Canis lupus familiaris: one gene and its partner. The protein of the gene in region 2 interacts with the protein of the main gene of each other region in a pairwise test. Links are inferred from orthologs where the notes say so. Each region holds a gene or a part of one and is shown on either strand. Other genes may lie near its edges.

Evidence for each region.
Region 1: the proteins of UBQLN4 (region 2) and pre-mRNA-processing factor 40 homolog A interact in a two-hybrid assay, tested with the Homo sapiens proteins (2 studies listed by BioGRID and IntAct). The link is inferred for Canis lupus familiaris from reciprocal best matches to the Homo sapiens genes UBQLN4 and PRPF40A.

Annotation. Positions count from the first base shown.
Region 1 is NC_049240.1:55,413,917-55,417,580, reverse strand, and holds part of pre-mRNA-processing factor 40 homolog A, read left to right. Parts: intron 1-43; coding exon 44-105; intron 106-1,266; coding exon 1,267-1,398; intron 1,399-2,840; coding exon 2,841-2,933; 3' UTR 2,934-3,664.
Region 2 is NC_049228.1:41,748,003-41,752,380, forward strand, and holds the start of UBQLN4 (ubiquilin-4), read left to right. Parts: upstream 1-1,528; 5' UTR 1,529-1,582; coding exon 1,583-1,690; intron 1,691-3,102; coding exon 3,103-3,254; intron 3,255-3,618; coding exon 3,619-3,836; intron 3,837-4,378. Other genes in the region: ragulator complex protein LAMTOR2, read right to left, coding at 200-362, 523-590. UniProt on the Homo sapiens protein: Regulator of protein degradation that mediates the proteasomal targeting of misfolded, mislocalized or accumulated proteins.

The sequences.
Region 1 (3,664 bases), on a different chromosome or scaffold from region 2:
ATGTCCTCAAAGTCAGACATTTTTTTCTTTTCATGCTGCTTAGAGAGAAGTTACAAGAAGTCAAAAAAGCATAAGAAGAAAAGCAAGAAGAGGAGACATAAATCTGTAAGCAAGCTTTTAATTTTTATACTGCCCCTAGCTTTAGCCCTTAGCTTACTCAGCGGCGATAGAACCCTTTTCTGTCTACTCCTGTGCAGTCTAGCACAGTTCCAGTGGACACCTGAACTCAGGAATTACATCATTTGTCTTCACCATAATCTTCCGTTAAAACCTTCTGGTGAGCTTTTAAAATAAACATACATCAGCGTTAAGATTCCCACTCTGGCTTTTTAAAGCAATCTTAGAGAAAGACCCAAGTGTTTGTGTGTGTCTTGCAGTTGTGGTGAGAATCATAAGTCTAAATGTTCACCTCCTTCTCTACTCTTAGTTCTTAATTTTACGTATGTATCAAGATATCCTAAGGAGGTTTTTTTTGAAACATAAGTGAGTAGGTGTTTATTACCTATTGAGATTTTTTTCCTTCGTGCCACTCACTCGAATTTGTACATATCTAATAAAGGACCAGTTATTTAGGCAGTGACATTGCCATTTCTTTTTAATTTTTTTGATATTGCCCTTTAAATCCTGCTTTTTGGGGCACCTGGGTGGCTCAGTCGGTTAAGCGTCCATCCAGCTCTTGATTTCTGCTCAGGTCATGATCTCCAGGGTTTAAGTTTAGGTTCTGTACTCATCATGGAGTCTGCTGAAGATTCTCTTTCTCCCTTTCCCTTTGTCCCTCCCCTTGCTCTCTCTAAATAAATAAAATCCTTTAAATAAAAAATCCTGCTTTTCAGTTATAGTTTTGAGAGAGGAATTTTATTATATGATGATCAACCTATTAGGTGATTAACCTAATCACAGTATTCTGTACACATAGCTGAACAAAAAAACCAATATTTTATTGGGTTGGTGGAAAGTGTAATGTTTGTCTACTTTTACATTATAGGCATACTCCCATTTTGTATGCTTCCCTACTTTAGTGAAACTCTTTTGCGATGTTACTGTATTAAAATGTCACCCTTCCCAAAGGATAGACAGACTCCCTCCAATGAATCTTGGATATGTTCCAGAATCCTTGAGGTTACTAGTTCAGTTTTCACTGCACTAGGAACACATGCCCTATGATAATATAAATATATAGATGTTCTTAAATATTATCTAAATGGAGATACTAAAAAACAATGGTTTTCTTCATCAAAATGCTAATGTTATTTTTTATTTACATAGGACTCTCCAGAGTCAGATGCTGAGCGAGAGAAGGATAAAAAAGAAAAAGACCGAGAAAGTGAAAAAGATAGAACTAGACAAAGATCAGAATCAAAACACAAATCACCTAAGAAAAAGACTGGAAAGGATTCTGTAAGTATTCAGAATTATTTCATACCTGGGTTTCCAGAATAGAAAAAATAGATACTGTGGTTAGTATGACATTGATGGACTTTTTCTAGGTTAGCTACCATTTGAAGAAAATGAAGAAAATTTAAAGGATATAAGAGACTCAGATCAGGGTTTCTCAGATCATAGGTTCTCCAGATATACACTAAGTTCAGTTTCAAAATGTTAACTTTGTAGGAGTAATCATTGTGAGAGAAGAGGTGAGGGCAGAGGGATAGGAGGGGACTAAAAGCCAAAGTTAACATTTTAATATCAAATTAGTCTTTAATTTCCCGTGTGTGTGTGTGTGTGTGTGTGTGTATAAACGACAGCACAGTAACACCGATCGTCTTAGCCTTGCCATTCTTCCACAAATACTGTGGACTTAACAGGAATAATGCTACTAAATCAACCTATGACCGTCCCTTTAGTGTTTTAATTAATTCAGTTGATATAAAGGTTCTTTTTAAAAGCTGCCCTGGTGAGTTTCGTGCACATCCTTGGTGAAGATTTTCTGTTTCCTTAATAACAGCGTTTAACAGTTTGTTCTTTGTAATCAGTTAAATGAAATCTCTGAAGGAAGGAGAATAGATGAACTATCTACTTTTTAAAGATTGTTTTTCACAAATACAATATTTTTTAAGTGTTCTTCAGACTATTGCCCTGCTCATAAATTTTAAATGTTTATTCTCATAAATCTTCAATGTTTATCTAAGGATAGTTTGTTTAAAGGATAATACTTGGGGCACCTGGGTGGCTCAGTGGTTGAACTCCTGCCTTTGGCTCAGATCCCGATCCTGGGATCAAAGGATCCAGGGTTCGAGTTCCACATCGGGCTCCCCAGAGGGAGCCTACTTCTCCCTCTGCCTGTGTCTTCCTTGCCGCTGTGTCTCTCATGAATAGATAAAATCTTTTTTTTTTTTGGTAAAGATTTTATATATGTATGTATTTATTTATGAGAGATACAGAGAGGCTAAATAAAATCTTAAAGTAAAAACATAATACTTGTTTGTAATATAAAATACTTAGGTGACCTGGAATCTACAAAATTAGCAAGGAATATAGTGCTTTAGGTTATGAACACTGGCTTCATTAAATGGAAACCAAATGTTTCACATACAGAGGTGTTCGAGGAAGGGAAAGAAAAAACACTGTGTATCTTTCTGCCTGATTTACATATTAATGCAACCTGAAAGCACCAAAGTTCACCATGTCCCCTAATAAAGCCAGAGAATGGTTAGCAACTCATTAACAGGCTTTTGGAAGAGAGGTCAGTCCTAAACCCTCTGATGAGCAGCTTGTTTCTGTGGAAGAGAATCCATATACATTTTGATTGCCTTTTCTTTCTTTTTTTTTTTTCAAAAGTTCAATACTACTAACCTTTTGAGTACTGACATAAGATGTAATCCTATTCAATGTCTTTTCAGGGGAATTGGGATACTTCTGGCAGTGAACTGAGTGAAGGGGAATTGGAAAAGCGCAGAAGGACCCTTTTGGAGCAACTGGATGATGATCAATAAATTATACCAAATATATGTTTACAGTATGATTTAAAGTCTAATTCAGACCAGGGACTCTATTTTAAAGTTCAATTGAAATAAAACACTGGGTTTTAATTATATCACAGGAAAAAAAAAGTGCATTTAAGTATTGTTATTGTGGACTTTATAAAAGCAAAGGAAACTGAAAATAACTTTTGATTCTGTATCAAGAATCATATTTTCATATGGTCATAACTGTCTTTCTGTGACCCTTTCATAGGGCACTGCAGGATGGATTAAAGGTGGCAATTTACTGATAACTGCAGATGTCTCTACTTTGTTCTGAAGTCTAAGTCATGAGGCGATTTGATTTACTTTATAGAAGTTGGATTTTGAAGATATAATGAAAAATTTTTTGATACTTAGTAGTACAAAAAAAGCACCAGCAACTGATAAAACTGCTTTTTTGTGCACTACCCAACTGGTTCCGATATGATCTTTTATGGTGAACTCAGAAATAGGTGTTCTTAATGGAAACCTGTCAGACCCTTAACTAACTATAGCGGTGCTAAGGAGCACTACTATAATAAAGCCACCATTATTTTTTATGAAACATCTGAATACATTAAAAAAAAAAAAAAGGCTGTTGTGAGGGCATTATTTTGAGGTGATGTTTAAAAAGTTAACATCAAATCAAATTGTAAATTAGTTTAAATATATTGCCTTAAGGACCTACTAAAGAATGTGCCACCAGACTTTAAGTGATAGTT
Region 2 (4,378 bases):
GCTTCCACCGACGACCATGGCCGGCGGACCAGAAGCCCGGTCAGTACTAGGTGGCCGGCTCCCTCCTCACCACTGCTTGCTGCAGCAGACCAGCCCTCAGCCACCCTCGGAGATCCCGTCCCCGCCCCTCCAACCCCAGGATGCGGTCCAGGTGGCCCCATGGCACCCCTCGGGACAGGGGGTGGGCCCTGCTCCGTACCATGCAGTCCATGAGGATGAACTTGAGATTGTCTTCGTTAAACGCCTGGTTCCCGTTGCGGTCGTAGGCGGCCCAGATGTTGCTGGCGATGGCCGCGGTGACCCGGGCGTCCGTGTCCCCGTAGCCGGAGTAGGCCAGCAGGGACCCCTCATTATTCAGCAGCCTGGCGAGCGGCGGCAAGGGATACAGATGGGCTGGGGGCGGCGACAAAGGCGGCTGCGCTCTCAGCCCGCCTCCCGCCGGGCGCCTCGAGAAAGCGGGGGTCAGGGCAGAGCGCGCCCCCCAGACCCTCCCTCCCCGGGGTCCTCCCCGGTCGCACTCACAGCGTGCTCTGGACACCGCCGGTGTTGGCCTGGCTCAGCACCTGGGTCAGAGCCTTGGGACGCAGCATGCCTGCGGCTCCCAGGTCTGGGCTTCCACGCCAGCCCCTGAGCTGCCTCCCGCGGGCCTCCGCGGGAGCCTCCCCGAACTCCGGAGGTCCCGGCCGGGCTCGGGGGCGGCGACGCAACGCCGCCACGCCATTCCGCCGCGGGGGGCGCCGGGACTTGTAGTTTCATGCGGCCTCGCGGCGCACCCCGGGAAGTGTAGTTCGCCTTTCCAGGGGAACCACGCGGTGGTGGTGGGGGGCGGGAAGAGCGGGAGCGAAAGGACCTGGCAGGACTGGAAGGACGTTTAACACCCCCTACCCCCATCCCGGGGAAAGAAGAGTCAGCATGCCCGCTTTACAATCCCTGACCACTAACTGAAAAAGAAATCCCAGTATTGGTCAGGCACACGTTCGATTACTCTTCAGGGCAGTTTCCTACGCCGTGCACAACCCTGGGGGTCGGGATCGGGGCTCAGAAAGTCCACGCCGGCCGAACCCAGCCCACGCTGGCTCCCTTGGGAGCCGTCCTTAGCCAACCCCGTGCAGGCCACGACCCCTGGGGGGACGGTCGGTCCCAGAGGTGAGACTCTGGGGGGACGTCCAGGCATGAAGGACTCCGGCCCGGGAGCCCCGAGAATGGGGCGGCCACGGGGACTGCGTCAGGTCCGGGAGCCTGAGTCCCCGCGTAGGTGGCGGGCGGGGATGGTGGAGCGCCCACGCTGGAGGCCAGAGGCCCGCCCCGCCCAGAGAGGCCCCGCCCCCGAGAGGTCCCGGCTGCAGTGCCCCCACCAGGCCGCCCGGGGCGCTGTGAGCGCAACTGGTCCGGAGGGCGGCGCGGCCGCGGGAAGGGGAGGGGAGGGGAGGGGAAGGGAGAGGAGGGGAGGGGAGGGGCCGGCAGGGCAGGGGAGGGCGGAGGGGCGGAGGGGCGGAGGCCGGAGCAGAGCCCGCCGGGCGGGCGGCCGAGCGGGGAGGAGGGGCCGGGGCGGGCTGGCGGGCGGCCGGGTGGCGGCGGCGGCATGGCGGAGCCGAGCGGGGACGAGGCCAGGCCCCCCATTCGGGTCACCGTCAAGACCCCCAAGGACAAGGAGGAAATAGTGATCTGCGATCGGGCCTCCGTCAAGGAGGTAGTACGAGCGGCGAGGGTGGCGGAGGAGGGATCTGCGGAGAGGGGTTGGCCCCGAGGCGGGGGGGGCGGGAGGCCGGCGGCGGAGGGGGCGGGGGCCCCGCAGGCTCTCGGAGGGGCGGGGGGGCAGGAGCGGGGCTGGGGGGCCCCCTGGGGGGGCGCTGGCCAACGCGGCGCGTGCGGCGGATGCCAGGCCGGGGCTGGCCTTGTGGCCTGGGCTGGGGGCGTGGCGGAGAGCGGGGAGGGGGCCCCTTGCAGCGGGGAGGGGAGAAACACTGGGGATGCGGGCCGCGTGCGTCCGGGGGCTGGCCGGGGTTCGAGGGGCCGCGGGAGGCGGGGGCGCCCGGGGGCGCCCGGGACTGGGGCGCGGGGTGCTGGGGGAGCGTTTCCCTCCGCCCTGATCCGTCCTACCTTTTCAAATCAAGGCCCTTACAGTTGGCCCTCGCCCCTCCGGAACTTGCTGTGTGCAGTAGGTGCTCAATAAAAGTGTGTTGACCGAGTGAATGAGGGAACACCTCCTGTGTTCGCCACCCCCTGTGGCTGCTCCAGAATTTCACATGGGCGGGGCTTTAGAGAGGCCATCTGGTTGGAAGGCAGGGATCTGGACGCTGCCTTGGCTTAGCAAGTGCACTCTCTTGACAGAGAGTGGCCTGTTTGACGTGTTTGGGCTTGGTTTGAGGGAGAGCTAGTAGATTTGGGGGCCTGCCTCTCCTCAAGCCAAACTTTAGTGCCATCACTGCCCCCCTGGAATGTGAAATGACCACATTCCAGAGTGTGCATCCTCTGCCCTGCAGAGCTCAATTTGGAATCAGCTTTAACCGAGTGGAGAGGCCGAGTGTTGGGTCAGGAGCCAGGGCTTTGGTGTCAGGACCCGAATTCCAGTCTGCCCAGAGTGAGTTACATAACTTCTCTGAGCCTCAGTTTTCTTCGCCTGAAAGTGGAGATAACGACCCATGTGTATCTTATCAGTCTGCGACCCTTCACTTCTGAATGGTCGCTGCTCTTAGCGATGATTGTGGGGTCCGTGTGTTGTCCTTGTTACGAGAAGGCTGGGCCTGGGCAGAGAGACCTGGTGGCTAGAATGGAACGCTGCAGGGGTCAGGGTCTGAGTCCAAGGTTGCTGAAGGAGTTGGGACCAAGAGAGCCACCAGGGCAGTGCTGTCACCACAGGGAGCAGCGGGGAGGGACTGAGGGGAGAGTCACAGGGAAGGCTGGGCCTTCTAGGGTGGGAGACCCTGGGGTTGAGCCCAGGGGAGCCTGTCACTAGTCCATCTCTGGTTAATGAAGGCACAGCTCACTGCAGCTGGATGGATGGAGTCTATACTGCAGAAGGGACTTCCCGAACTAGAGGCAGGGTCCCTGGTGGGTGGGGCCCAGGGAACCTCTGCAGTGACCTCTGCCTCTTGACCACAGTTCAAAGAGGAAATCTCCAGGAGGTTTAAGGCTCAGCAGGATCAGCTGGTCCTGATCTTCGCAGGCAAGATCCTCAAGGACGGGGACACACTGAACCAGCATGGGATCAAGGATGGGCTCACTGTCCATCTGGTCATCAAGACCCCTCAGAAGTAAGTCCAGGAGAGGAGTAGATCCAACTTCTCACTGGGCCTGTTTTCCTCCTCTGGTACTCACATTCTTACCTGTCGCTCACCTACCTGGAGGGCCATGCCAGTGCCCAGGAAGGTGGCCCTTGGACGGCTCCCCTACAGGGGAAAGGAACCTGATGTAGCTCTCCCAGAATGCTGGCAGATGATACTGCCCCCAGCGGCACCCCTGTGGCTGGGGGAGCCCCCTTACCCCCCTACCCCACCACCACCTGGCCCAGGGTTGCTGAGAAGGTGGTGGCATTAGGGCAGTAGCTGCACCAAAAGGAGATCCTTGTTCTCTCCTTCCTGTTCACTTCAGCTTGGACTTTATCTCTCTGTCTCTCAGGGCTCAAGATCCAGCTGCTGCTACTGCTTCTTCCCCCTCCACTCCAGACCCTGCCTCAGCACCCTCCACCACTCCTGCTTCACCTGCTACCCCTGCACAGCCCTCCACCTCTGGCAGCGCCACTTCAGATGCTGGCAGTGGAAGCCGGAGGAGCAGTGGGGGGGGTCCCTCCCCTGGGGCTGGGGAGGGACCCCCCAGTGCTACTGCATCCATACTCTGTAAGCCCTTAGGGAGGAGATCACAGTCCTGTGTGGGGCTTGGGCTTAGGGGAGAGCCAAGAGGAGACAGAAACACGGTCCCTGCTCCTAGTCTGATGGGGATAGGGGACCCCTGGACATGGAGTTCCAGACACTGGTACTTGAGCAAAGCAGAGGAGGGAAAAACTGGTCTATGAGGCCCTCCCAGAGGAAAAGAGCATGGATGAGTGTAAAGGGGGAGGGAGGAAATGGGATTGCGGATGTGGGGAACTCGGGGTGAGGATATGGGTGTGCAGGGACCAGGGGGATCCAGCAGTGACCAGTTGGGGAATATTTATTGCTCGTTCAGCAGGCCACCACGGTCGGTCGCCCTCTCTGTGCACAGTGCTGGGCTTGGCTCTCAGCGTCTGCTGCCAGAGAGGTCTTGGTTGTTGAGGCTCCCATCTCTGCCAGCAGTGGGGCAGGGCTGGGGCCAGGGGAAGGATTGGAAAGGGAGATGTGAGAAGCAGACAAGGCCCATCTGGAGACCTGACCAGTGGCTGTGGCCTGGCGGGGGCAGGGTC